Linked DNA regions of Astyanax mexicanus. The main gene of each other region encodes a partner of the protein of the gene in region 3 in a complex. Links are inferred from orthologs where the notes say so. Each region holds a gene or a part of one and is shown on either strand. Other genes may lie near its edges.

Region 1 (7,363 bases), on a different chromosome or scaffold from region 3:
ATCGACTGATGCCTGACACCCACTGTTCGTAGCTGCTAGACCCAACAGCTACATCACCACAGCAGAAGTTGGTGTTTCTTTCTGAATTCTGGGAAACAGAATGCCAGCCAAGACGCCCATGTACCTAAAGACATCCACACCCAAGCGGGGTAAAAGATTCAAACTGAGGGATGTTCTCTCTGGCGACATGATCAGCCCTCCTTTGGGGGACGTACGCCACAGCGCCCACGTTGGCCCTGATGGGCAGGGTGACATGTTTGGAGACATTGACTTCCTGCAAGGCAAGCTGGACATGTTGCCTGGTCTAGCCAGACCACCCCACGTCCGCTCAAACAGCATGGACAGGCATTTGGATGGGATTTTTGATGTAACCCCCAAAGGCATAAGCCACACTTATGACTCCCATCGGAATTCCCACCACACCTCTCATCTCAAAAGCACCATCTCTATGCCCATTTTCATCGCCCCAGAACAGCCTCCTCCCAAACCTCCTCGTCTACATTTAGAGGATAACTGCTCCCATGAACACCACCAGCAGCAGCAGCCACAGCAAGAGCAGCAAAAGAACCACCTCAGTCAGAACCAGCAGGAGCAGCAGAAGAATCATCACAATCAGAACCAGCATGAGCTACAAAGGAACCACCACAACCAGAACCAGCAGGAGCAGCAGAAGAACCACCACAACAATCAGCAGCGCTCCATGTCTGTGTGTGAAGAAGCAATGGGCCGCTGTAAAGAGCCCTGCAATGACCTCACTATCTCAGCATCCATCCCCATACTCAGACACCTCATGCCCTCCACCGGCTCTTTCTCTGAGGCCTCCTCAGATGACTCCATGTCCGAGGGCTGTGGGCCGCTTGACCCGAGCCGAGGTCTGAGCCTGGACTCTGATGCTGGCCTGAGTAACGAGGACCTGCGGAGCGACCGCAGTGAGTCGCCGGTGCTCTCGGCTGGCGTGTCCCGTTCTGAGTCTCTTGTCGGTCTGGACCTGGACCTGGGACCCTCCATCTTGGAGGATGTCCTCAGGATCATGGACCGTTACAAGAGTGTGGAGGAGCAGTGCGAGCTGTGAGCTGGAAGCATGCTTTAGACTATGGGTGTCTGTATGGGTGTTTAACTCCATGAGGTTTGTCATTCAAGATGTTTCCGAGAGAGGATTTTCCTGCATAGAAGTGGACAATTTCTTTGAACAGATGGTTTCAGAGAAGCACAGAGATTATGATTTGATAATAACACGTCATCGAATTATAACTGCATCTGTTCTGTTGTAAGAGTCCCTTTAAACTGGAGATGCAGTATGTTAAAGAGTCTTAAACTCTTGATCATTTTATACTTTATTACATTCAATATATAAACCACAGGGAACAAGGTCCTCACAACTTTGTGTTGGTTGTACAGACAGGCCTCAGTCCACCATCCTGTTCAGGACTCTCAAGACACTCTGAGCTGCACACTCCTGCTTTAGACATTTTATTAAGGTTGTACTAGCATGAACTTGCCAAACTCATGAAAGAGCAAGTTCTCAACACACCATAATGACTGATTTTGGATGACAGAATAACTGGGAAATAATACATTTTTGTATTTTGGAATAGTAAATAAGTGATCTCTTGTCAGCGCCAACTAATTACTTCATTAACAGATGGCTTCTCTTTTTAGCGAACTATAGAGCGTATGACTCATCGATAACAAACAAAGGAAACTACATCTGTTCCTGTGTTACAGCCCATGGGAACTGAACAAGTTGAGTATTAAACAGATGTTGTGTTTTGCTTCTAATATATTTCATTACACTCCACATTTCAACAGCATATTAAAGGGAATATGATGTTTACTGTCTTAAAAATGGAACAAATCCATAGTGAAGTTCAGTCAGCTTGTTACTTTCAAAACAATATATGGCTGAAACTAGCCTACAATCTCAGTCACTACATACAGGATTCCTGTTTGAGTTCAGAAAGACAGTTTATTCATCTCAAGAGGGAATTTTATACCACCGTAAAGCTCATAATTGATATGTGTTAAACTGTGAGATGTTGAATCACCACGATCATGTAAATAATATTATAATAAAGGTTATAAATCCAACGCTTTGTTGTTTCTCCTTTATGAATGAAACATCAAGACCAACATTGTGTTCACCTCATTTGTAATCGGTATGGTTTGGTGCTTTGTCTGCATATTCAGTCCAAGGGCAAGATCATCAGGTGTAACCAGTCATCTGACTAAGAGCTGTATGTTGAGTACAAGGATTAAGAAGCAACCAGACAAGTTCATTGCAGATCACTCCTATGTTAGTCATCACCCATTTTAGAGATTACCTTCTGGCTGAATTAAGGCCATTTCATCTGGTTGTACAAGTAGACTGAAGGTTTGTCCACAGTAAATTATCTTGTTTGTGTTCCTGATAATTTGTTATATAGTAAATGTGTAGGGGCAGCAATGGCCTAATTAATTTTTTTCTTCTCAGAAAAGCTGCTGTCACACCACCTCTCATCCGAAAGCAGCTAGAACTTCAGCTGGTGCACCACAGGGCACATCTTAAAACCAGCCTGTGCACCATTTAGCGCATCTTGAAGTAGCTGGCACACAAACACACACCTCAAAGCTGCTGGCACACCAACTGGCACATGCTAAAGCAGCCAGTGTACCAATCAGCACATCAGATAAGCAGTTATTTGGGTGTCAATGGATAAATAATCACCATCCTAAAACAGTTGAAATTTCAACTGATACACCATACAGGACCTGGTCATTTTTAAAGCAGCCATAATTTCAGGCACATCTAAAAAGCAGTCTGTACTTCTTTAAACAGCGGGACATCCTTTTTGTGGCAGAAGTAGGAAACCCAACAGGGTTTGAGCCAAAGGACTAGAGCCCTATTTTGCTTCATATCAGTGTACAGGTAAATAATTACAGATGCTAAAAACGTATTTTAAGCAATGCTGTACAAGAGGGAGAAATTTCACAATACAAAAAAAGACATTAAATCACTAGAACCTTTGTAAAAAACAAAATCCATGTTTGTTCACGTTGTTAAAACTGATCTTATGTAAAGAACAACTTCCTGATTCAAATTATGTCAAAAAGTAAAAACGTGACAAAATGAAGAGTCTTTTCAAAGTCTTTTCATGTGAAATTAACACCAGTTTTAGAGAAGTGATATATCTAAAACTAGCCAAACATAATCAGGGTTTGCCAGAACTGCTTTAGGTGACAGGGTTCAAATTCATTGATTAGGTCAATAAGACGTAATTAATCGACACCTAAGAGGTAGTCATGTGTTTGTTTTTCTTTATTGCTGTTATGATTGTATCTTAGCGCTTTTCAGTACATTCATGCATGACGCGCATTTTTGTGCGCTTTTACGCATCTGGTGCGTTTTTACGCATTTTGTGCGCTTTTACGCATCTAGTGCGTTTTACGCACTTTGTGCGCTTTTACGTATTTAGTCCGTTTTATAGGTCTGGTGCGTTTTAAAATATGGTGTGCCAGAAATGGTATACCTGAAGTAAACTCAATGGAAAATGTCTTTTTTGTCTCTCTGTGCTGTAACTTGTTGACAAACGTGTCGTTTTACCACCAACAAGCAGCGCTATTAGTTATAACTACTGCGTTATTATCTTCCCATAAATCCCTAAAATTGTTTTTGGAAATTTTATAATCGATTAAGGTAATAACATTGAATTGAAATTTGCGTTAATTTTCCCATCGCTAATGCACTGAAATCAATAATATTTATATTTGTATTTGTGGGAAGTATATTTTAACATAAAACCACTAATGTTAGTATGGATTTCAGAGCCCCAACCTTTTAAAACCTTTAAATGAACGTTGATTTATTGTCAGAATTTTAACACTAACTTTCTTTCTTTACTATCAGGAGCTATTTGTCCAAAAAACAAAGTTTTTTTCTTTTATTTTATTCATTTTAGGGGTGTATATTTATGGCACAAAAATGTACTTATAGAAACAGAAAAACAAAAAAAAAACGAAAAAAGATTAATACATTAAAGCATAAAGTTAGAGTAACCTAAGCAGCAGAAATTCTTATTTACAAGAAAATCGTATTTTTCATTATTAGAAAAAATAGACCCTGCTATTTAAAGTCAAATTTAAGTCAGATTTAAGTGGATTTATTTGACAGAACATTATATTTTGATGTTCTTTTTTTTACTGACTTTTAATTTGTTTTGGTTTTGAACCTTTATTATGATGTTCAGATCGGTCTGACCGAGCGGAAAGGAAGGCGGGGTTTGCCGCGGTGGTGTTTTGATTGACAGGTGAATTGTCCAATCAGATGGTTGTTTAATAAGCGTTGACAGCAGTTCAACCAATCCTAGCTGCAAAACAGAGCGTACGAGTTTTAGACGCGACGGCGTGCAGACAGGGGGCTGTTAGCTGGTGTACAGGGTAGTGAGTTGTTTGGTAATTATGTGGATATTATTTTAATGTTATTTCGCCACTGTTGGAGCGAGATATACACGTTCAGAGAGGAAACAGAGTCACGGCGTTCTGCCACCAGCAAACATGAAGTGAGTTACATTAACTAATTCTACCGTTATTAAGCTAACTTAGCTAAACTAACGGGTTACAAAAGAAGTGTCTCGGTGCTTTTTCCTTAAATACCTTTACTTCATCCCACCACAGAAATAACCAGGTCATGTATTTAATATATTCCTGATTTTGATGTTTCCTGCAGGTTGAACATTGAAGGGCTGTTAGTCTATTTCCCTTATGACTACATTTATCCAGAACAGTACTCCTACATGCTGGAGCTCAAGAGGACCCTGGACGCCAAGGTATCTAAAGTTGTGTCAAGCCACCTGCTCCAGAGACTGAATATGCAAAATAAACACGATTTATCCAGCTCTTATAAACTAATATACACCAGAAACACACAACTACCTGTGTGTAGAAAAAAGTAACATTCAGAAAATGTTTGGCGTCCTATAAAATAAGCTTTTCTGTAAATTAATGCTAATGAAGAAGATGGAATATTACATCAAAGCTCATTCCAAGACTAATCAAACATGGCATAATTCTAAGAAAAGACACTTAATTCTCATAGTAAAAGCTGACAGGCTCAGACGCACAGTATGCAGACCCGTTTTACCTTTCTTAAGCAGTCATATTGTGCACAACCCCTGAGAGCTGCTTGCTTTGTTAGCTGTGAAACAAAAGGACCTTGTGGCCACACCTTAATAGATACTATTATCTATTATCTTATTACCTTAATAGATGTGCCTTATTAAGGTAAACACTGTATATTTTTGCATTATATAGCAAGGACCTGCTCTGCTTTCTGTCCTTAGGGCCATGGAGTTCTGGAGATGCCCTCAGGAACGGGAAAAACCATCTCTCTTCTGTCTCTTATTGTAGCATATCAGAAAGTGAGGCTCTGTGCTACTTTTTAATTAATTGTTTATCCAAAAATTAAGAATGTGAGCTTGTTTGGCTTAACAAGCAAGTAAAGAAAGGTCTTTTAAACTCTACCTGCAGGCCTACCCTCTCGAGGTGACCAAGCTGATCTACTGCTCCCGAACCGTGCCTGAGATTGAGAAGGTAATGAACGGCACCTTATGCAATGCAGTTGTACATTAATGAGTGACCGTGTGCACTGAGTGTATTGTGCATGTGCATTATCTGCATTTAGAAGGCGTTTTTTCTTTAAGGTGGTTGAGGAACTGAGGAAACTGATGGAATTCTATACCAAAGAAACAGGAGAGAAAAACAACTTCCTTGCACTGGCGCTTTCTTCAAGAAAGAATCTGTGCATTCATCCTGAAGTAAGTGTCTCTTTGCTGCCATATATGACGGATTAGAAAGTGTCATTACATTAATGCGCTTTGGGCTGTGTAAAGCCTTTTTAGTCGTACAATGGGATAGATTTTCAGAGTTACATAGCATTTCTACCTTAAAGTAACAGGTTATATTTAGGACTAGTAGGTTAATCTGATTAATTGGATTAATTGAAAAACTATTTTAATGCGTTTTCCAAAGTAGCATAATTAAGATTGAGAGTCTTGGTAAATTACTGTTTATGAATAATTTCTGAACAAAAAAGTTCACAGATTTTCTTTTTGTTTCTGTTGAATATCTTAATCTGATGTATCTAATCACTGCAGAAACTGCACAATTTAACTTTGTGAAGCAGGCAGAATAAGGCTTGTGAAAAATCTTACTACTGCTTATCTTAAGTCATATTTGTGTAAAATCCTGTTATATTACTTTACCTTTTCACATGCCTGTTCTCAGCATTTCTCAGCTTGTAAAATGTTGTGTGTACCACAAGGGGGAATGAGCTCAAAGTGTGATTTGTCTTTACTGTAGTGAATTACACTCTTCACCTGTTTGGGGAGCCCATGAGTAAAATAACACAGTCACAGAATGCTGCTTTAATCATTGATTATGCTCTTTATATAATCCAGCTTGATCCTTGCCTCTGTTTACAGGTGAGCTCTTTGCGCTTCGGAAAGGAGGTAGATGGAAAATGTCACAGTCTGACAGCATCGTATATTCGAGCCCAGCATCACAGTAATCCAAGTCAACCTGTCTGCCGCTTTTATGAGGTAAACTTAAACACTGAGTCTTCAGCTTGCTTTAAGTTAAGTTTTTTTCCTTTGCTTAGAAATCTTTTTCCCCCCACAATGTTTTATATTTTTTTAAATACTCCACTATGTGCAGGAGTTTGATGCCGTGGGCAGACAGGTGCCAATTCCTTCTGGAATTTATAATCTAGATGACCTTAAAGACTTTGGGCGCAAAAAAGGCTGGTGCCCATACTACCTAGCACGCTACTCTGTAAGTATCTTTAAAGAAAAATCTTGTTTGTTGTGAAGCTTTGTATCAGATGTAACGAGAGGTAGAGAGGAGTAATATGAGGAGTGTGGTAGTGGACTGAATAAACAACTTTGTTTAAATGTTTTTAACGTATTAGTTTTAATGTTTCTGACACTTGTAATTTAAAGAGAAATATTGACAGATGTAAACACAAGTGTAAATAGATTGATTGAGGAAGAGTAAATGTGATTATATATTAATTAATTTAGGGATATTGTAGCTACAGTGAGTTTTGTAATTTAATATGAAAAGAGATTTTTTTTAAAAGAACAAGTTTTTATTCAAATTGCCATTGGCAGACTGCCTCTAATGCCACAGCAGTGAAGCTGTGCAAATCTGGCTACTAATGAGGGTTAAAGGTTTACACACATACAGCAGAGGAATAAAGTCAATTTAAAGATTGATCTTGGGTTAACAAAATGTTTGCGTGTTATTTAAATGATCATTTAAATTATCTTTTATTAAATGTAAACAAACCTTGTGTAATCTTTTCATGATCATTTTACCTAACTGATAATAA
Region 2 (7,959 bases), on a different chromosome or scaffold from region 3:
AGATCGGCTAATTGATTAGGCAGCAGGGACTTACCACTGCAATCCTATTCTCCCCTAAACACACACATTTACACACACAAGCTCCATTCTGTAGCTCCATATAAACAACTGCTCCACAAAAAAACACCTGCTTAACCACCTGACCTGAAACCCAGAGAAAACAACTCCATCTGTGATTTAAAAAAAATAAAAATATATACATTGTTATTCACTCTCCTGTCCTTTAACTTTTCCCTTTTATTGTATGAAAAGATAAATCAAAGTGTTACAGGTGCTATTGTAAAAGTTCTACACAACCAAACAACAAAACACACACACAGTAGTCTTGAGAGTCCTAACCACTCAATCATCACTGCCCCTGTGATCCATGTGCAATTTACAACCCACATAGCGTCCATGTTTAACCCCTACTGGTCCCCTCACGAACCCTGATGGGTCACTAACATCCACATGTGGGCCAACATGGACCCTGTGGACAAAATTCATGAGCTACCCACCCCTTTGCCATGCGCAGCTCATACAGACCCCACATGGGCACTTGGTCACTGTTACCAAGGTTGTGGGTTTGATACCAGGGGGGTATTGGTACACTATACTTTTTGGCCCTTGAGCTGCCGTGATGGATTGCTGCCCACTGCTCTGAACACATATAAGTTATAATTACGAGATACTAACTCATCATTTTGAGATACTAACTTATAATTATGAGGAACTATGTCATAGTAATGAGATACTAAGTCATAATTACGAAGAACAAACTCATCGTTATTAGATAAGTCATAACTTTAAGATACTTAATCATAATTATGAGGAACTAAGTAATTATTATGAGATACTAAATCATAATTTTGAGATATTTATAATTATGAATAACTAAGCCATAACAACAAGATACTAGGTCATAATTAGGAGGAACTAACTCATTATTATGAGAAGTCATAACTTTGAGATACTAACTTATAATTATGAGGAACTGAGTCATCATAACGAGATACTCAGTCATAATAATGTCATAATAATGAGATACCTACTGGTACTGGTCATTATTATGAGACAGCAATTCACAATAATGACCAAGTATCTCATTATAATGACTATGCATTTCATAATTATACATTATGACATAGTTTCTCATAATTATAGTTTCTTATTATTATGACTTATAATCTCATTATTATGACTAAGTATTTCATTATTATGATTTACTGGACGACTCTTTCTTTCAGGAACTCTTAGTGGTGTAGCACAGCATAGTCACCAAGGCCTGGAATTGAACCCCAGTCTCCCACATGGAAGCTCACTTGCATGCAGTGGTGTTATCCACTGAACCACACCAACCACTAACCACTAAAATTATCAACATACTTAAAATAAAAAATTCAAACATTGACACAAGTGACAATGAAGTGTAATTACCAGAATTGGAAACAGCATTACTGTTACGGAATTTAAAAATGTCAAATAACAACATTCAAAGAACATCCAGAAAACTTTACAGATTAAACTGTCTAAGAACATTAACTCCCTGCAAAAAAATCCAGTTCAAGACCAGCTGGGCTACCAGAAAAAAATATACTCTATTCTGGTGGGCTATTGATCAGATAGGTATTTTATCAGTAACGTTTAGAAAATGTTCTACTAACCAAAAACTGTAAGCTAGATAAACAATTTTAAAGAGTTTAAATTAACTCTGATACAGTAAGTTATTTGAGTTAGTTGATTTTGCTGTGCACAGCTGCACCACGCCCCCTTCCACATCTGCACTCCCCACTCTACCAGCAGAATGCAAAATCAGAATGCAGCGTGATTGCGTTCACACTGTTATCTTTATTTTGAATCAATTGAATGCTATCAACTAGAATTCGGATCGAACGCTCGCTCACCTTTGGGGAAGGGGTTGGGCTGCACGGCGTACAGCAGAGCGTGCACCATGTGGAACAGCAGACCGATGGGTCCGGGCTCGTAGTACGCGTGCGTCTCGTACACCACGGACGGGACGTAGCCGAAGTCCAGCACCTCAGCCGCGTGCGCCCGGTGCGTGTCCGCGCGCGCAGGGGCTCCGGTGGAGGCGGAATTCTTCTGCTGCTGCTGCCGATCCTCGCGCGCCCAACTGCACGAGCCCCCGCAGTAAAACAGCAGCAGCGCGAGCCGCGTTTTCCACAGCATCGCGAGCGGCTCTTACAGAGGAAGACCCCCCTAAAATAAACCGGATTCAATTAAAGCGAATTGATAAATGAATTAGGAATCCGAACCGGAGCAAAACCTCAGCACAGCTTAGATCAGATCCTCGCGTTCTTTCCCCGAATTCCACATAAAAAACAGGAGGAATAAAAGCTCCAGTATGAATTCAGGCGCGCGCCGGTTCCGCAGGACTCATCCTCCGTTATCTTCCACACTATCTCTCCTCCTTCTGCTGCTCGCGCGCCCAGGATACACCGCCGCTCCTGCTGGAGCGCGTGCGCGGGACTGTAGCCCGTCGAGTGTGTGTGTGTGTGTGTGTGTGTGTGTGTCATCACGCATGCGTAAATACACTATACCACTTTATTTTTAAATAGCATAGTAGTATTAACCTCATCAGACCTGGACTTTCTCCTACCTATGTGGGATTAGTAGTACCTAACAAGTATAAATATAAACTTTGTCTTTATACAGGAAGTTATTTTTGCAAAAAAACAATGCCTGCAATTCACAATTTTTTACGAATAATTTTATTGTAGCTTCCTATTATTACTAAATATTTGTCAAAAAAAGCATGACATATTAAGCCAGCCATGTTATTGTACTACACAAAGTACTGTCTCCAAAAGTGCCCAAATTTAGCATATTTTCACATTTAAGCATATTTTGCCCATTTAAAAATCCCACATTCATTTTTTTTGTTTGTTTCATTAGAAAGCAATAAAGGGGATGGCAGAAATAACCGTTGACTAATCAAGTAATCAGCTAATTAAAAAAAACAGTTAAATTAACTTTCAGACACCAAATAATGCAAAGAAAACAAGATCAATTTCTGAAAGAGTTTAGAGTTCAGAAATCAATTTTTGGTAGAATAATTCTGGTTTTTAATCACAGTTTTCATGCATCTTGGCATGTTCTTCTCCACCAGTCTTACACACTGCTCTTGAATAACTTTATGCCACTCCTGGTGCAAAAATTCAAGCAGTTCAGTTTGGTTTGATGGCTTGTGATCATCCATCTTCCTCTTGATTATATTCCAGAGGATTTCAATTTTGTAAAATCAAGAAAAAACATCTTTAATAAGTGGTCGATTATTTTTTTTCAGAGATGTATATAAACACAAAAGATATTCTAGACTGGGACTTTTTACTGTATATAAAGTATTTGTACTTTATAAACAGAACCTGAATGAACAGCTTATTCACTCGCATACCTGTTCTGTCCAAGTGAGGGTATGGGCTGCCCTTTCCCTCCTCTAAACACAAAGAGCTGTGATCTAATGCACAGACTGAGCCCCTTCGCCCCCGTCCCCCCAGTCCCGCCTGGCTGGGCTCATGTTTCTCTCAGTATAATAAGACTGCATCTGTAACAATCCCCTGACTTAAACACCATTCAGATCGCCCTCTCAGCACAGAGCTGAGCCAGCCGGGCCGGATCAGTCTGCCTTCCATGACTGTAGGAACGGTTTAATCCTCAAGAAATTTGACCTTTCTTGTAAATATGGACATTTTAAATGAGATTACAAATCATAGGAAATAAAAGAAATACTGATTGCAAACAAAATACACATTTACCCATCCTAGATGCCTCCGAGCACAGAGAAGTTAATGCCTCTTCTGGACATGGTTACCATGGTTACGAAGTTTTAAGTGGTGTTTATGAATGTAACTCTGTATTGTAGTGCTTGAAGATTGGCTAAAGTAATCCCTTGCCCATGTGGTCATATTTTATATATCTTTTGCTAAAATAGAGACAGCTTTGCACATCTTGTCTGGATTTTCTCAGGTAGAGTCACCTGGTATTCAGGATTCAGGAACAGCTGTGCTGAACTCGTCAAGAGTTCATTACTTGATTTTTTTTGAGTGCATCAGTTGTAAAGTTGTGAAGAGGTAGAGTTGGTATACAGTGAATATACCTATTTGAGTAATGTTCTAATCCATGTTATGGCAAAAACTACTTGACTAGGTAAAAATAAAAAAATACTTTAAGGAATAAAGGTCAGTAAATCTGAAACATTTCAAGAACTTTGACCAAAGACCATTCAAAACGTTGAAACTGGTTCTCATCAGGACTGCCCCAGGAAAGGAAGAGCAAGAGTTACCTCTGTAGCACAGGATAAGATCATCAGAGTTACCAGCCTCAGAAAATGCAGGTTTACAGCACCCCAGATAAAAACACTTGAGAGAATTTTTGTTTGTTTAACACTTTTAAGTTACTGCATGATTTCTTATGTGTTCCTTCATAGTCTGGATAAAAATAAAAAAAAACATTGAATGAGAAGGTGTGTTTAAACTTTTGGTACTGTTCATTAATTGGACCTCCTGGGTTTAAAGGAGAAGGTGGGGGGTCAAGGCCTTAATGCTACCTCCTTGAAATTAGTTTTTGCAGGGTGTCTGTCTGGTGTCGTCTGAGGGATGGAGATCACAAGCTTAGGCTTGTGCTTGTACGTCTTTATGTTTCAGGGCTGAAGGTGCAGCATTGGACGTTGCTGTTTTTACAAAAGAGATGCATGCATCTCAGTTTCACCATTTAACTTTTGACACAGTATGATATGAACATACATATGGATAAAGTGCAGAATGTTAGATTTAACCTAATAAACTCTTTGTGTGTAGTTCATGAATAGCTATCTAACCATCCACACATCTGCTTCTTTCTGCTTCTTTCAGATCAGGGTCGCAGTGGGTTCAGAATCTACCCGGAATCATTTGGCACGAGGCAGGAATACACACCCTGGACAAGGTACCAGTCCATCACACTACCTACTATTTTGGATTGGACCAAACAAGGTAGGTGTAAAATCCTTTCTTAGGTGTAATAAAAGTTAAAGGGCACATGTACCACTTTTTGTATGTATTATTTATGCTTGTTTTATGCTTTAAAGACAAAGTAATCTTTAATTTTAACATGGCCAACCTCTCAAGATCCCTTCAAATTAAACAGGCTGGTCCCATCAGGGGTGACACATTTTTAAACACCTAATTTTACCTACAAAAGTGACTTAATTCAATTACTATTTTAGAGACAGTTCAGACAATTTATCACCAACAATGAGTTCATGGGAGTTCATGCATTTTACTTATTTTTTGATGAATACGCCACTGTTACTCAAAGTAAATAAGGCAATTCTTACTCCTAATGTTTCACTGTTTAATTGAACATGCATTTAACTTGGCCTAGGGTTCATTTTGAGGGCGCATATTGAAAAAAAAAAATAGGTTTCAGCAAAAGCTGGATATTGTGAAATGGCAGTGGGCCTGACGATTCCTTCTCCAGGTTTACTTGCATGCGGTGAGTTTTAGAGGTAGGTGTATTCTCCTTTCAATCATGTAAAATTTATTATTTTATGAAGCAATAGAAACAGCACTGTATGGACTAATATTTTATGTTAAATGTGGGGGGGGGGGGGGGGCGGGGGCACATGGTGGGTAAGATCCATCTGTGATCAATGAGTCTGGGTCCACTGCAGCCTCAGCTTTCTGTTCTTGGCAGACAGAAATGGAACCCGATGTGGGTCTTCTGCTGGCACACTTTAATTTGACAGAGATAGGCTGTCCAAAACGCTTGTAATGCTTTGAAAGTACTACATAACCTCATATTTAAAAAAGAAAGTCCTTAAAATTCTGAATGTTTCCCGAAACCTTTTATAACTAGTACTTAAATTCTTTCATAAGTTTGGAGACTAAGAGAAATCAGTACTGTACCATCACCTTTCTGTAGCAGCACCATGCTGCCTCACGATTGAATAACTGCTTAAAAAGTAGATGTACGGGTGTTTCTAATGTATTGGTAATACATATAATAACTTGCTCAGTCTGTGTGTAAGAGACCTCTTTCAGAAAAACGCACAGATCGGATCAGAGTCAAAAATCCCTGGAGTTTAGCAGGCATGATAACAGCTCAGCTACACACACAATCTCTCCCTTTATATGTAAGCTGGGATTAGATAAGTCCCACGCTTCAGGAATCAGGACTGATTTGATCTGTGCTGCAGGTAAAATATAAGTGCATTGCTTTGTCTCTCTCACACACACACATTCAAAAACATATATACACATTTTTTTATTCCGCATAGTTCCCAGCTTAATCTTGGTACATTAAGCTGTTAATAATCAACTTTTTTAATAAACCCAAAATGCTAAATACTGATGGTTAGAATTAACGCTGAAAGACAAGCAGTGTAGTAGTGTACCTCTTGTTACAAGATTAATGACTGCTAGACATGAAAAAATAAGGAAAACATCTGGAATATAATCAAGAGGAAGACGGATGATCACAAGCCATCAAACTGAGCTGAACTGCTTTATTTTTTTTCTATCCAAAAGCAGTGTGTAAGACTGGTGGAGGAGAACTTGCCAAGATGCATAAAAACTGTGAAAAAAAGTGATTTTACAAAATATTTTTAAGATTTCTGAACTTCAGAGAAACTGATTCAGAAACTATAGTTGTCTCAAATGCATCACAGAGGCATGTAAAGCAGTCAACAATCTCTTACCAAGAGGTACACTACCCAAAGGTTGCCACTTTTGTACAAAGACCCAGTGTCTAATCATATCTCATCTGTAATCATTTTTGCGATAACCCAGTATGTTTTTTTGGTGAAAAGAGAAATTAGGAAATAGTGTTTCATCTTCTACCTAATGAAGATCTGCTTATCTTCTGCTGTATAAATTTACGAGTGTACACCCAGCTTATTACTGTATGTGTATGAAAATATGTCTCTTGAGGTATGTATGCTATGTATTGTTCAATAATACTGTCACAGAGTGCAAGTAATAATATATGATGATATGACAGGCCCATGAGCATGTATTGTACGAAATGTTCGGTAGAGGAGATCTGCTTACATCTTTAACTCCATGTGGACCAAAACTGCCTTTCTGGACCGAAACCATGGCAACATGCTGCATAGCAACAATCAGTGCACACACAGACATCATTCTAGAATTAGGAGTATCCACCCCCCCCCCCCCCCCCCAATAAATCAATCTTTATTAAATCGATATTTAAAAATTATGCTACACTAATTAAACATATTTGTCACTATTTAAAATGCTGTGTATTTTAGGCAAAATGTATAGACAAAATATTAATAAACTAATAATTTTTTAATTATTATTGTACATGTAAAGATTGGTGTCATACTTTTGTTCATAGTGATGTGTTTAAACCCATCCAATAGAAAGCATTCTAGTTGTTCTATTTGGATGAAAAGTTAACTTTTCTTCTACTCAGATTTTAGAAATATGTTTTTCTTAAACTTAATTTAAACAATCACATTACATCACCCTTCATACAGTATCACAGTACATCATAACCCCTCTATCATGATAGGTTTCATATCGCTAAGTTCTTCCTAATACACAGCCCTACTCTTAACTCTAATATAAAACAGCATTACATCTGCAATATATATATATATGGCTGCAAAATAAGTCAAACTTCTAATCTCATTATTTTGTATAACATTTCTAAGACAAATCAACAGTATTTAAGTTACTTAGTGAATCTCTTAGTTTTTAATAAATTATAATGTGTAAAAAATGAATAAAATCCCTGTCTTTAGACGTGTGGAATCTAGATTGAGCTTAGCACACAGAGTTACATATATAATACTTCTCTCTACCACAAAATCTGTTTGTGACCTAAAGCTTAAGCGTACTTGGGTTCTGCAGCAAGACAATGATCTGAGACACACCAGCAAGTCAAAACGTTTTGGAGTGGCCTAGTCAGTTTTAAATAAAGATTCACTGCCAGTTATCACAAATGCTTAATGGCAGT
Region 3 (7,065 bases):
AGGTTTTCTGTGTAGAAAGTGCAGATTGTAAACTGTGAATCCATCCACTATTTGTACCATTTGTGGCATCAAAACAGAAAAAAATCAGAATTGTAGGCTGCTCCCTGTAAAAGCATTCCGAATGTTAAAACAAATCATTAAATAACTCACTAATTGCATTGTAATATAACAGCACTCTTCTTGTCTTCTAAAGGTTAACATGCTGCTGAGTTTTGATCTTTGAGATTTAATCCACACCACAATATGTAACACACTGTGTATATGAGCATAGCCTGCTGTTAATACGACACTTAATAAGACACACACAAATTCAGCTCTTGAGTCGAGTTTGTAACTAATGCCAACATGACTCAAGCAGAAGTGTGCATGAGGTTCAGGAAAGGTTTTTAAGTTTCGTTTTTTGTTTCAACTCTCTGCAAGTTTTTAAACCACCACTAATAGAATAGTGATATGTGTCTTGTGTTGTTGACACTTGTCTTTACATGGTATTTGTGTCCAATACTCAGATAGCAATCCCATGCAAAGTAAATCTGCCAATTTTCTCAATGTGCAATCATGACTGCCAAAGAACACGTTCATGACTACCTGTAAATAACTTCACACTCTCTTAGGTAATGAAAAAAACAATGTCATGTCTTTACAATCATTTGTTTCACTTGAGAATTACATACAATGTTTATGTAATGTATTGTCTTCCAGTTGCAATAATAAAGGATCCGTTTTAAAGGGATTTTTTTGTGCAAAATTTCTTTCAATGGTATTAAAATTATTGCTTTACACTTGATGGAAATTTGTACTGTAAATATGCAATACTATACTGTAAAACATTTTACAAGTTCATGACAAGCCTATAACATTTATGAGCAAAGGACAAAAAAGTAGCTAATTGTTAGTAATTGGTTATTTAAAGTAATCTGAGTTGATGCCAGTTTTCTAAATCTGCTTTACTTTAAATGCCCAAAATCCATTGTTGTTACACAACACGGGGTCAATAAACAAGAACGTGCTGATCTTATTTAATCACATGCTACATGCAGTGATGGTGTATCCGAAAAGAACATGTAAATCTACATTAAACCAAACATCCCACCACATCTTCCATTCTCAAATTATGGCTTATAAAACAAAAACAGAGGAAATATTGTGCTTTAATTGCCTAGGTTCAGTCTGCCACTGAACTGCAGCATAAGCACAAGATAGAGGAGCAGTTAATGCTAAAACTAAAGCAGTTTTAAGAAACATGGCATCACAGAGTATTCACCCACACTAAAAACAGTTATTACACACAAGCAGCTCACAAACAACAATTATCAGCTCAGAGTGTGTGTACTCTACACACACACCACAGGAAAATGACTTCACTGCAGAGTTTTAAAGGAACAGTGTTGAAACTCTGCATTAGCTCACAAAGGATATGTTCCAATTGGGTACTTCTAAATAGATTTGAGTATGAAGTATGTAGCATAGATAAAAGTATCAACGTTTAGTATACTCAAATATCCATAGTGGATGTTTAGGTTGTGTAGATTGAAATAGCAACTCTCTTTGCTTCCTGTTAGTACGAAAACAAATTAGTATGGTATTATTCTGTGTATTTCACCTGCTAAATTAACGCCCTGTTCTGATTGGCTGCCTTTTGTCGAGCCTCAGTCTGCTGTTTTGACATGTATAAAGAAGTAGAGACCTAGACCTGAGTAAAAGTACAAGTGCTCTATCAAAAAAGTTATTTGAGGAGAAGTTAAATTTGAAGTATTTTTTAAGCTCCACCCTTAAGGGGAAGTACTAAAATATTCAACAGTTTTTGTGTATAAGTATTGCAAGTAGTTTATAGTAAAATGTTAAACTAAAGTACTGAGTGTAAAAGTACAGTATTGTGTTGTGTAGTTATTACAGAAAGCAGTGGAAAGTTCTCAGAATGAAAGGCAGAACAGGAGCAGTGAGGTCTTCTTATAAGACCTCATCAACATGATCGATTGATTTGCTCAATGATGAGTAGCTTAATCTAACCCGGTGACAGTGCAGATCATCTACCGCTCTGGCTTTAGTGATAATGTGGGTTTGGAATAATTTCTAACATTTATAAAAATGATAAAATAATAAATAATACCCCAGAAGATACAACATTTTAGTATTTATGTACAGTAGCGAATTAAATCTACCGTATTATTAATCTCTGTAAAGGCTGAGTATATACAGTTGTTTCTGAATATGGCTGCAGTTCTTAAAGACTTGAGTGAACAGAGGTCTCAGACTTTAGGGTGAGTGTAGTGAAGTGTGACAGCTGAGGGTCATTCATAATTAAACACACACAGCCCTAATGACCAGACCCCTCTCTGAGCCTTTGCACAAGCAGCAGCACTCTGTTGCTATGGAACCACAGGAGGGATTTTATTTTTTTAAACTGTATGACATCACAATACGCTCACATTGAATATATTGGGTCACCTGACTGTAATGCCCTACCTCCTGCTTTCATATCATTGCATCCTTGCCAACTCATAATCATTTGTGTCCCTGTAAATCTATATAACTATTCTCTTTACTATTCTCTCTTTAAATTTGTTCATGATTGACAGTTTATGTCATGTTGTATTATTTACAGTTTCTGTTCTAGAGAATTTTTTTCAGATGATTTTTTCAGAAAATTGTATTTGTTTGGTATGTTCAGGTATGTTTAGAGGAGTAAAGCATTCGACCCAAAAACACAGCTCTTGTATATTGCACAAAGTGAATAGAATAATGAAGAGGGTCTATTTTCAAATGTTTTAATACAACGTTAATCCATCAGCAACTATGATATATTTGAGAGTAACTTCTGCTCCTTCTATAGCTTAAATTGGCAGTGGTGGCTCAACGGTTAAAGTACTGGGCCAGTGGGCCATCGACTCCTGGGTTTGGCAGGCTGCCACTGTTGGGCCCTTGAGCAAGGCTCTTAACCCTCACTGTTCCCTGATAGCTCCGGATATATGTTCAACAATATCACTGTGTGTTTTCACTAGTGTGTATATGTGTGTTCACTGCACAAATGGGTTAAAGGCAGAGGCTAATTAACTACAATGTGGGACTAATAAGACATGCATTAATATTATTATTAAATACGATTTTCTTGTTTAAATTAACACAGTGCAAAAACAATACAAATCATTACATAATAGCATATTAAATATATTCATATTTCATACATATTCCATCTTTCCATTATGCTTAATTCAACAAATAAATAAATATAGTGTTTAAAATGTGAATAAAATGGCATTTAAATTTGCTGTTTGAAGATTTACTTATTTTGACTTTGAAAGCAAACGTATATCAATTTATGTCATTTCAACATTTGAATAAAACTTTAAAAACAGCATAACTTTGCAGATGGGGTCATTTTTCCACTGATCACACACACACAAACACACACACACATACACAGTCTGCTGCCCTCGTGTGGTGGAATGCAGTTATTATTAATATTGGTTAGATTAAATGTATTAAAAGAGTGTTAAATGGATTATCACTGTTATCCAGTCCTGCGGTCCTATATAATGCACTTTAAATCTAATAGAGAACTTGTGGTAAGGTGTAAGGTTTTTTTTTTATGTATTGCTTACAGTACATCATTTACCAGGGAGCTTAAAACTATTGTTCTGCTGTAGAATTCTATTTTAATTTTGCTGTATTATACGATATTTAACTATGTTTGGTAATTTTGTTATTATGTAAATGTAATATAATATAATATAATAATTATAATCAAATTAATCATCACCAGCACCAATTTTGTTATATATATATAATAATTTGATTTATCTACTGGCTTTATCTCCAGTTAAAAATTATGTGTAAATATATATATATATATATATATATATATATATATATATTACCCCTCTATGCATATTTTGGTAATAAAAAAATAGAAAATAACGTAGTTTTATAAATGTACTAATTCTTTTTAAGCGCCTCCCCCGCCTCTTTCTCTGTGATCCGGGTCCTGTCTCGTGCCTGGCGGTCTCGCGATACCGTGACGCAGGCGAGCTAGCTATTTGACGCATGCGCAGCAGCCTGGCTGTGTGTATAAAGCAGCACGACGGCGGCGGCGAGACGGCGGGGGACGGAGCCCGGGACCCGCGCGCTGATATAGCTTATATACCGAGCTCACGCAGCCCACCGGACAGCGCGCGGCTTCACCTACACACCTTATGCGGGCAGCTGCGGGGCGCGCGACCGCTCGGGTGTAGTTTAATCAGAGCTGCAGCAGCGCGGCGTGTCTGGCGCTCCGCCCGCGGTAATGGCGAGCTCGGCTAACTCTAACCCGGTGGTAAGAACCCGAATCAGAGAGAACGAGGCGAGGGCAGTGAGCAGGCACGAGGGCGTGGAGTGCCCAAAAGCGGTGAACAGAAAGCAGCAGCAGCGCGTGAGAGCGGGGCAGTGTGACCTGCGCGAGCGGGTGTGGAAACCCAGCCCATGCTCGGCCTTCCCTCTAATAAAAAGTGTTAGGCACACGAAATCGGCCATGTTAAGTCCTGTCTCTCTGCAGGCGGGGCTCACAAAGCAGCCCCGCACTACAACTACTACTGCTGGAGTGTGATATATATGTATATATTAGTTACTAACTACTATAAGATTACTGTTATATATTATATATTACAGATAGTGCTGCATTAACAGTGCTATAATAACGTGCGTTGTCTTAGTTTATCTACAGGTTTACTGGGATACTCTCTCTTTGTATTTAACGATAACTAACTGTCATTGTCCGTGTGCTGCTGTTACTCCGAGCTGTGTATATATAACTTACAAAGCCCCAATACTCATATTTTAGGTTTAATTCTGGCTTTGTATCATTTTTTAAAAAGCTGCACCTCCTGTACACTCTACTCTCATTCATCTCCAGCTAACTCTCTCCAACCAAGTCAGGCGATATGATTAAAGTTAGCTTTTTATTGGAATTCTACCGTTCCACCTTAAATCCCGCAGCGCTAACATTCCGGTGCTGTTCAGGCGCCAGACTGTATCCGCTGCAGGATTTAAGGTGGAACGGGGTAAATTCCAGTAAGCTCAGAGAGAGGGAGCCACTCCGCGCTGCAGTTAGTTAGCACTAGCCTCGCTCCTGCGCTCCTCTGACCCTCCCTCCCGAGCAGCCCGGGTTATATACGGCCCCGCGGCCGCTCTAATATCCACCCAGACCGGGATGGGAAGGCGCAACTCCGCGCCACGTCACCGCCGGAGCTTTAAATAGCACGACGGACGGAGGAAGGGAGGGAGACCAGACTAGGACATCAGGGACTGGACACTGTGGGGCTATAGCTCTCGCTCTCTCCATAACCCTCTGCCTGTTCCTGACACCTGCTATTCATCTGTTTAGGCTTATTTTAAATCATTATGGGCCATGCGTTGATTATTATTATTTATTATTATTATGATTATATTGCACTTAATTGAATACTGTGCAAACCGATTGTACAAAAAAAAGAAGAAACTCTATGGTAGTTTAGTATGTATTCATCTGCCTTTAATGATGCTCCCTCTCCAGCCTAAACTCTACAGAAGTGTGATGGAAGATGTGATCAATGAGGTCCGAGAGCTATTCCTGGATGAGGGTGTGGATGAGCAGGTCCTTATGGAGCTCAAAACGGTAAATGAGCTTACCTTTATCTGAAAAGGCCACAAAACATTTTAAGAAGCTGTTCAAATTGTCACTTATTTTATTTTTTTGTGTACACTAGGGCTGCAACTATTGGTCAATATAAATTCATTTTAACTTTGCAGACTACATATTTCATTGTCGACTAATTGTTCATTTGTAACTGTACCACATACACAAAGTGTCTCCAAAGGTGCCAAAACACAACAAATTACATATTTAAACACTAAATATCAGCACTTTCCATTCTTAAACATCATCAGGAATAATAGCTGACTACTCGACTAATCGAAAAAACAATCAGATTAGTCGACTACCAAAATAATCATTAGTTGCAGCCCCAGTGTACACATACAAACCTATATTGTACACACATTGAAAACCCCCCAAATTGTTTTGCTATTTTAATGATTGTTTCAGGATGTGCTGAGAGAATAGTGAAACTCTATTTGTTTTCCTATAAATAGACAGCCATCACTGAATGGTGGAAAGAAGAATGTTGATTGCGGTTAAAGTGATATTACATAAAATAATAATCTAGTTAAATTAGTATTCTATAGGGTTCAGTCAAGCCAGCGCCACTCTGAAGGCAACCAATAAAGTCAAAATGAAGGATGTTTGTTTTAAACTATTATTTACAGTGGGTAGTCAAATATATTTTATCGTTTTGTATTTATAGATATATATATATACTGATATAGATTTTGATATCAGGCATCCATATACTCCTACGCATTAGTCTGGACTAATCAAACCAGTATACAGTGAAGTGTGCGATTAAAAAAAATCATACCCTTAAGCTTGTTCGTTGTTGTACGGATTGTATATTTAACTTATGACGTAATGACTGTGACTTGTTTAAAGTAAAAAAAGTATAAATCATTTATCAATAACTAAGTAATAAATAAAAAAATATATAAATTTGTAAAATGAATAAGGGTCCGGTTGTCTCCAGTCGTGCCCTTTAATGGCTTTTTGTGCTGTGGTTACTAGACCTGAGAAATGCTTCCTTGATCACCAGTGCTGATTCAGCTTTCTCAATCAAATATCTAAATAGTGCTGACTGATGCCTCCTTGAGTCATTGGTGTAACCCTCAACTGTGGCCTGATCAATAACAGTTATGTGATTAAATGTGACCTGCGCTATTGATCCGCTGTTGTGTTGCAGCTGTGGGAGAGTAAGCTGATGCAGTCGAAGGCTGTGGACGGCTTCCACACTGAAGAGCAGGGTGCTCTGCAGGTGCAACAGCAGGTCCAACAGGTTCAGCAGACCCAGCAGCCCAGTCAGCCACAACAAGTTCTCCTGCCACCGGCCCAGCAAGGTCAGAACAACATGTACTTGTACACCTTTACAGTTGAATGACCTTTTTTTTTTTCTTTTTTTTTTTTTATTAGTTTGAAGCTTCTCTACAAAAACGCTTTATTTATTT
Region 4 (7,453 bases), on a different chromosome or scaffold from region 3:
CTCCCAGAACAAGTATCTCAGACTGCTTTCATTAAGTTTACAAAACAACCTAAAAGACCAGAAGCAACACAGATTTATTAAGCTGGATATCTAGTAAGGGTGTAGTCACATTAGGTACGGTTTGGTTGAATAATGCTAGAGCACGAGGTTCTGCCCCCTCCCCGCTCTCCCGCCAGCCTGCACTCACACTGCGTTTAAACAATCCGTGCCAGAGCACGCTTACAACATTAATCACTGCTTAGTGGGCTTGACAATATTGTGCTGTATTCCACATCCCCACCATGAAAAGCACCCTCTCTCAGGAGTGCCTCTTCTTGATAAATGCAGAGATAATCCGCTTTAACTTACTTAGAAATATGCGCCAAAATCATGGTTATCCTAGTCACCCGAGATGGGGTGCTTTTTTTGGCGGGGGAGCTAAACACTGAATTACTGACGTCATCCTGTTCCGTGCTCATGCACGAATCGCACTCACACTACATGTGCTGTTTAAACAATACAAGTGCAGTAAACTGTGTATTGGCAAGAACTTGGTGACACAATACATATTACAATACAGTGGGGTTACAATTCAATATATAGCAATATTGTATTGTAAACTGAAACAGAATGATCTACACTGGGTTACCCAAGAGCATCTTAGTCTGAAGATAATTAATAAACTAATATTAAATTATTAAACTTATTAAATGTTATCCGAGCACCACACTTACCACACACACCACACTCACTCTTACTGTCTACTAGTTAAATTATCTTTATCATTTATTCCAAATTAAAAGCAGTAACAGCAACAACCTGGGAGTTACAATATTAGCTACTCACCCTCAGTCAGGGGGTTTCGGAGGTGAATCAGGACCAGGTCCCGTCCAGGTGAGGGGTACAGAGAGAACTCGTCGGTTCCAGTTAGATTCTCCACAAACAACTCCACCATGTCAAGGACTGTGTTGGGAGAAAGCCCCCGAAGCACAAACTTCCCATGATCCTTTGAAGGTTTCTTCCGCACGGTCAGTTGGCTATTGCTTATTGAATGAGAGGCTTTGGACAAGACTCTGGCAGCAACTAGCCGAAAAAAAAAAAACACAATTTACTGCTGTAACTATCACGATGTATGCTTTCACTTAGGTTACATAGTAGAAGGTTAGATGTAGCAACCTAATAATAGCAGCAACCTAATAATAACTGTCTTGTTTTTGATCAGAATAATATAATTTCCAACAAATAACAGTTCAAACTGGTGTTTAAATATGTATAATATCTGAAATATCTAAACTTAATCTAACTTGAAGAGCAAAATATTTGGATGACATTAGACTTAAACACTCTTCACTAATAACTTAATGGTACTGCTATTGTAACCTCTATTTGTTATATATCTCTGTAAATCTGATTCAGGTCTTCTCCCAGTTTTAATGTTTATGTATTGCCTTGCAGAGATATACACACCAATCATTAGATACGGATAACGACCCACAATTCCCATATTACTATTGCTTTTTTATTTAGCAAAATAACACCAATTTTTGCTACTTTGTAATATTCTATATCTTATAAGATGTGACTATATATTAGAAAGATTTAAAAAGTCAAAAAATAAGAAATATCATTTTGTGTGTTTAACCCTTTATTGTATCTATTTACTAATGTTTCTAGCTTTAGATGTTGTTTAGTTGTTAGTTTTGAGGGTGGGCACAACTTTGTAATATTTTGTTTTGGGGGAAATAGCTTGTATCTGTGTATAATCAGAGCCATGTAGAATCAAAATAATAAACACGTTATGTGTCATACTGAATCTTGATCTCAGAAACTAAACTCATCACACAATACATTTGAAAATGTGCATCATTAAACCTGTAGTAATTAAAAATATAGTAAAATAATATATAAAAATAGAGTTAAATGAAAACGCTAGTTCCTAACTTTGAAGCGTTCAATATAAAAACAGAACTTAATCCGAGTAACCTTATTCCCTTTATAATGCTACCATTTACCTTCATCAATGACAGATAATCAGCTAAATTAACACTTCTTTTTTCATTAATGCTATGCTATTCCCATTATTAAATCTACACTTTTTCTTTTATTAATGGCAGCATATTGCCTTTATTAATGAGAGTGTATTGTCTAAATTAATATTAATTAGTTACATCCTTCAATGACAGCTCATTATCTGTACTCATAATACCTTTTACCTTCAGTATAATAACCTTTACTAATGACCAAAGGTGTCAAAAGTATTTACATTCATTATTTGGGTTAAAGTATAGAAACTAGGGTTTAAAATGCTCCAGTAGAAGTTCAATTCAGTTCAAGCTTTTCACTCAAATAAAAGTAATGCTTTAAAAACTACTTAAAGTAAAAAAATAAAGTAATGTAAGGGGGGAAATGCCATTAAGGACAAAAACTTATGCCCCACCCACCCATAATAACTAGAATGTCATAAAAAATGTTTCAGCTGAATATGTGCCCATTGAAAATAAATGCATTCTAGTACAATGCATATATATTAAAGAAGATCTTGATACTAGGCTACATTTGCATGCTATTTTTCTTGCATGAGTGTAGTGTGATGTGTGCAGGTGTGATAGATTGTAAATAAACCAATAGGGTGTGAGAATGGTATATGTTTATACTTTTCATCCAACCACAATTAGATTTACTCTATCCGAATTTTCTCTGACTTATTAAAAGGTAGAATAAAAACAAGCTGTAATGAAATAGGAGTAATGAGGGTATTTTTAAAATGTAAGGATTAAAAAGTATAGATCATTGCATAAAAATGTAAGAAGTAGAAGTAAAAGGTTGTCTGAATAATAATTACCAGTAAAGTATAACCAAATGTAAGGTAAAAAATTATTTGTACTTCCTTACTTGACATATCTGCTAATGACAACTTATTACAATTAATAATGTTAGCTTTTAACCTTTATAACATCTACCTTAACTAATACTGTTACCTTATTGATTAAATTAATGCCACTTTTCTACCTTTATGAATGTTTCCTTTTTGTTTTTGCTTGATTAATGGTTTAGTATGCAGTGAAAGTAAATGTTATTAATATTTTTCAGGCATTAGGTTTTCTTACCCTCAGCTTTTTCAAACTCCAGCAGGGCTCGGTCTCCATTTCTGTCCAGTGAAATCACGGTTCCTCCTCCTGACCGCTTGTTTTCAAAGTACAGCGATAGGAATTCGTCGTCCACATCGTCTGGGATTCCCAGAACCTCCAAGATTCTGTCCTCCGGGTTACCATCAGCCATCCTGATCAGCAGGAAAGACTGCATTCACTACAGCGAAGTGCTGCTGCGCTTCCTTAAGCACAGGCTTCAGAGCTTCTTCTACTGACTATCCAAAGTCCATCATCACAGTCCTCCTCCTCCAAATCACCAAACACCAAGCTCTTATTAACTACGTGCACAGAACTGTCCTTAACCAAGTGCTCATGAGTATATGAGAATATTATCCTGTAAAAACACTGAACTGATGAGCCGCTGTTAAAGATAAGTATCTATCTGGTCGTTAGGAAGAAACGAAAACACCGCAGAACTCGACCGAGTGTTTGTGCATTAAATCGCCATTTTTTAAATCTGTTCGTGCTGGGATTCAGAATAAAGACATAATCAGATGATCTGAATAAACGCTCGCCTCGCCTCGCCCTTTTCTCACCCTGTTCACATTTATTATTCAGTTCTAATGAAGAGAAACTGAAACCACGAGCGGCCCATAATCACACAACTCTTAAACGCGCAGTCTTATTCTACACAAACACGAAGCGCGGTCAGTTTTACCTCAAATAACAGTTTAAATGCATAAAATCTGTGTTCATAATGTCAAAATATTCGTTTCAATCAATAATATCCCATATTTACATCCCTGGACTCACCTGCAGTCTTTCTGCTTGGGTTCAGATCATGACGCAGAATAATACTTCCTGTTTCTGTCTTTCTTTTACTGGTTTATTACTTAATGTTTATTTAATTCATTTAATTCTTTTTTTTATTTCAATCCAGCCTGAACATCAGCTAAAGTATTTTTCTTTTAATAAAAAACACAGACAAATATAAAAACAATTGTATAAAAGGCTGTTTTAGTACCAATATGTTTGTAATATAAAAGTGTATGTGTTCGAAACTATGATAAAATAAAACATATTTAGGTGTTAATATATGTGTTATATTATGTGCTTAGTATGATTTAGAACATTCATATTGCCATGAAAATCCCCTGTAAAAAAACTATATGGCATAAAATAATATAAAATATCTAGCTTAGCCTACTTATCAGCATATGTATTCCACTTGTATTAATATATAAGAAATATTATGCAATTCAGTTTAATTTAATTAATTTATTTTTCGAAACATTTAGTTTTATATATAAAACAAATAAATAAATAAAAGTCCTTCTAAAACAACAGGTGACTTAATCGACCAATCACAGCGTTGGAAACTGACCACCAATCACACAGCCGTTTTTTAGGTAGTTAGCGGAGGAGAGGTGCGCATGCGTAGTCTGTTCAGTAGCGTAGAGCTAACGCACGTTAGAGGTAAGTTAGCAATCAACTCTCTCTCTTTTAATTATATATAGATTTATAAAATGATTGATACAAAATAATAGAGCTGCAGTATAATTAATGTACGATACTTACAAACATTTTTGTATAGTTCATTGATCTCACTGCATTGTTTATTTAGTGTCTCACGCTGAAGTTACTGCTAGCATGCTAACGCTAGGTAGCTATAGGTTAGTCGTCTCCGTGGTTTGTGTGGTATTGTGCCCGCGTGGATCTCATAATCTCGTTTTAAAAAAAATTAAACTTTGATGGATTAATCATTGATTAATTGTGTTTTCTTTTTGCAGATGGATCCACAGAAAGATATGCAGCCCCCCAAACAGCAGCCCATGATCTATATCTGCGGAGGTAACTTAACTAAGTTAACTAGCTAGCTAACACGTGTCTCTTGTTTCTGTCGGGGAATATGAGATATAGGGATGGACAATATGATTATGATTATATTTTATGTTACTATAAATTCCGTAGTAGTGTCCCTTTTGTTAGCGTATTTCCAGCCAACATTCCCAGCCTATTTCCCTAGTTAGACTTCTCATACGGGCTCTACATGGGTTTTCTGCGTTGTAATTTTAGGACCCTTACTAGCATAAATAATACCAGATTTGTAACAAAAGTCATTGATCCAGAATATCATGATACTTATAATGCATGCCAAATATCTTCATATATCCAAAATTTAAAGAAAAGATACTGGACAGATAAAATCGTTTTCAAGTAGATATATAATGGGAAATGAGAAGTGTGAATTTTTCTTTTTGCTAAAAACAGCAAAAAAAAGTACTACCCTGATGTGATATGGTTTGATATGTTAGGTTATAATATTGTTCACGATATTCAAAAATGTTAGTGATATCACATACGATTCAATATGGCACACCCTTACTCCCAACTAAACATTAAATAGAACTGTCGCACCTTTTTCTTTCTCTCCATTGCAGTTTTGCATGCCATATGAATACAAGTTACATTCATCTATATGCGGCGGTCGCTTCCTCAGATACAGTGACCACTTGCGCACTACATTTAGGCTCCTTTGTCTGTCTCAGTGACTTTAGGAGTTACGCTTTGGTGCAAAAGGATTATTTAAGCTCTGCCTGGGCTTAAACCCTACAGTGTTTCTGCCCTTCAAGAGTTTTAAGCACAAATAAGCAACGCACAGTTTGGCACACATAGTACCTGCAATACAGATTCTAAAGCTATGCTATATTCAAAAACTGCACATAGTAATAAATTTACATTTATATGTACATTTGAGTGTCTGCTTTTCTCTCCATCATCAAGATTTACTGATACTGGAATTAAAATATAATGCTCAGTAAAATTCTGCATTCTAACAATGTTATTAGCCATATAATCTTCAACTACTCCACAGAGACGTAAATGAATAAATGTCAAAGTAATGCATTTTTCTAAAATTATTAACCCAGATGTTGGGAGTTGATTTATTTTAGAGCATTAAGTGTAGCTGTGCATTTTTATATAAACATCTGCTTAAATCTGCAAATACTTTTGTATTATGAAAAAACATAATCACAGTTTAACAATACAGTAAACAGTAATTTGACAGTGGTTGGTCTATATGTGAAAAACATACTCTACTCCAGTACTTTTTTGCGCCTATATTGGTTGCTGATGCATTATTTGCTAATGCTGTAATGGAAAAAAAACACAATTATTAAATGACATACTTTTAAATGACACTCAACTCCTTTACCTTAATCGAAGATAAATAGGCACCTTCTGCCCACACTATTTTGATTTAATATATTAAATGGTAAATTAGTTTTTTTTACATATTTATTTATTACTGCTTTGATATTGTCTGCAACAAGGTAATGTCACTCTTTGTATTGGCTCCAAAAAATGTCCTTGCATGAGCAATTTCGAGTAAACTTATACAATCATATTTTGTTTGTTTTACAGAATGTCACACAGAGAATGAGATTAAAGCCAGAGACCCCATCAGATGCCGAGAGTGTGGCTACAGAATCATGTACAAGAAGAGGACAAAGAGATGTATCCTTTCTGGGAAATCCCTAAGTTCTTGTGCTTGTGCACTGATGAATAACATCGCTATTAGTCAGGCCAGGGTGGTTTCTGGATGTAGTGATCCCTTAGGCTGCACTACTTTAGGCTCCTTTGTCTGTGTCTGTGACTGTAGGAGTTACGTTATAGTGCAAAAGCACTCCTAAAACTCTTTCTGGGTTTTGACTATTTTGTGTCTCTGCCTAAGAGTTTTAGACACAGAGTATATAGGTCATTTAGGACACTATGTGGATCACACAGTTGCGTGTTGCATCCAGTATTGCAATTGAATGTATTAAATGAAAGTGTTGCTAGGGGCAACAGTGTGCTGTTTGTGAAGTGCCTTCTATGTTTAGGTGAGGGGGGAGGGGCAGGGACATTTAGAGTTTAGATCAAAGAAAAGGAGTGTTTTGTTCCCATGAGCACTTTTTTTTTTTTTTTTTTCCGGGAATATATAAGGCACTTCCATTTAGATTATTATTATTATTATTACTATTACTATTATTATTATAATTTATATGTTTATGTGCATGCAGGGACGTCCTCTACTGGTGTGAAGTCTTATTTCCTTAACTCCAGCTTTCAGTGGTTGTGTTCGATGCACGATGAGCTGGAAACTGTCCTTCTGAACAGACTGTGAATAGGTTTTTTTTTTTTTTTTTTTTTTTTTTGGAAACTCAAATTTTCCTCACCATTTTAAATGGAACATGTAAATACGTGCATATAGTTTGATTGTTAGAAATAGAAATACAGCTTTGTTTATAAAAAAAAGTCTTTGTGTGGTTCTTTGTTGGTGGTTTTAAGTTATTCCTTACTCCTTTTTGACTGAAGATTTCTTTTTCTTGGTACTGCATTAA

The links.
Region 1: gtf2a1 (region 3) and ercc2 share a complex: the UniProt entries of both Homo sapiens proteins name them as parts of the TBP-based Pol II pre-initiation complex. The link is inferred for Astyanax mexicanus from reciprocal best matches to the Homo sapiens genes GTF2A1 and ERCC2.
Region 2: gtf2a1 (region 3) and gtf2e2 share a complex: the UniProt entries of both Homo sapiens proteins name them as parts of the TBP-based Pol II pre-initiation complex. The link is inferred for Astyanax mexicanus from reciprocal best matches to the Homo sapiens genes GTF2A1 and GTF2E2.
Region 4: gtf2a1 (region 3) and polr2k share a complex: the UniProt entries of both Homo sapiens proteins name them as parts of the TBP-based Pol II pre-initiation complex. The link is inferred for Astyanax mexicanus from reciprocal best matches to the Homo sapiens genes GTF2A1 and POLR2K.

Annotation. Positions count from the first base shown.
Region 1 is NC_064425.1:16,927,513-16,934,875, forward strand, and holds the start of ercc2 (general transcription and DNA repair factor IIH helicase subunit XPD), read left to right. Parts: upstream 1-4,363; 5' UTR 4,364-4,530; coding exon 4,531-4,535; intron 4,536-4,702; coding exon 4,703-4,802; intron 4,803-5,315; coding exon 5,316-5,393; intron 5,394-5,502; coding exon 5,503-5,565; intron 5,566-5,675; coding exon 5,676-5,789; intron 5,790-6,455; coding exon 6,456-6,572; intron 6,573-6,687; coding exon 6,688-6,804; intron 6,805-7,363. Other genes in the region: zgc:154093 (cdc42 effector protein 3), read left to right, coding at 101-1,072. UniProt on the Homo sapiens protein: ATP-dependent 5'-3' DNA helicase. Component of the general transcription and DNA repair factor IIH (TFIIH) core complex, not absolutely essential for minimal transcription in vitro.
Region 2 is NC_064432.1:19,869,531-19,877,489, forward strand, and holds the start of gtf2e2 (transcription initiation factor IIE subunit beta), read left to right. Parts: upstream 1-4,942; 5' UTR 4,943-4,967; intron 4,968-7,959. Other genes in the region: prom1b (prominin 1 b), read right to left, coding at 1,884-2,166. UniProt on the Homo sapiens protein: Recruits TFIIH to the initiation complex and stimulates the RNA polymerase II C-terminal domain kinase and DNA-dependent ATPase activities of TFIIH. Both TFIIH and TFIIE are required for promoter clearance by RNA polymerase.
Region 3 is NC_064408.1:88,794,008-88,801,072, reverse strand, and holds the start of gtf2a1 (transcription initiation factor IIA subunit 1), read left to right. Parts: upstream 1-4,059; 5' UTR 4,060-4,279; coding exon 4,280-4,309; intron 4,310-5,524; coding exon 5,525-5,626; intron 5,627-6,803; coding exon 6,804-6,957; intron 6,958-7,065. UniProt on the Homo sapiens protein: TFIIA is a component of the transcription machinery of RNA polymerase II and plays an important role in transcriptional activation. TFIIA in a complex with TBP mediates transcriptional activity.
Region 4 is NC_064410.1:32,892,221-32,899,673, forward strand, and holds polr2k (DNA-directed RNA polymerases I, II, and III subunit RPABC4), read left to right. Parts: upstream 1-4,441; 5' UTR 4,442-4,544; intron 4,545-4,858; coding exon 4,859-4,919; intron 4,920-6,494; coding exon 6,495-6,587; intron 6,588-7,182; coding exon 7,183-7,205; 3' UTR 7,206-7,272; downstream 7,273-7,453. Other genes in the region: uncharacterized protein parp10, read right to left, coding at 826-1,062, 3,087-3,258. UniProt on the Homo sapiens protein: DNA-dependent RNA polymerase catalyzes the transcription of DNA into RNA using the four ribonucleoside triphosphates as substrates.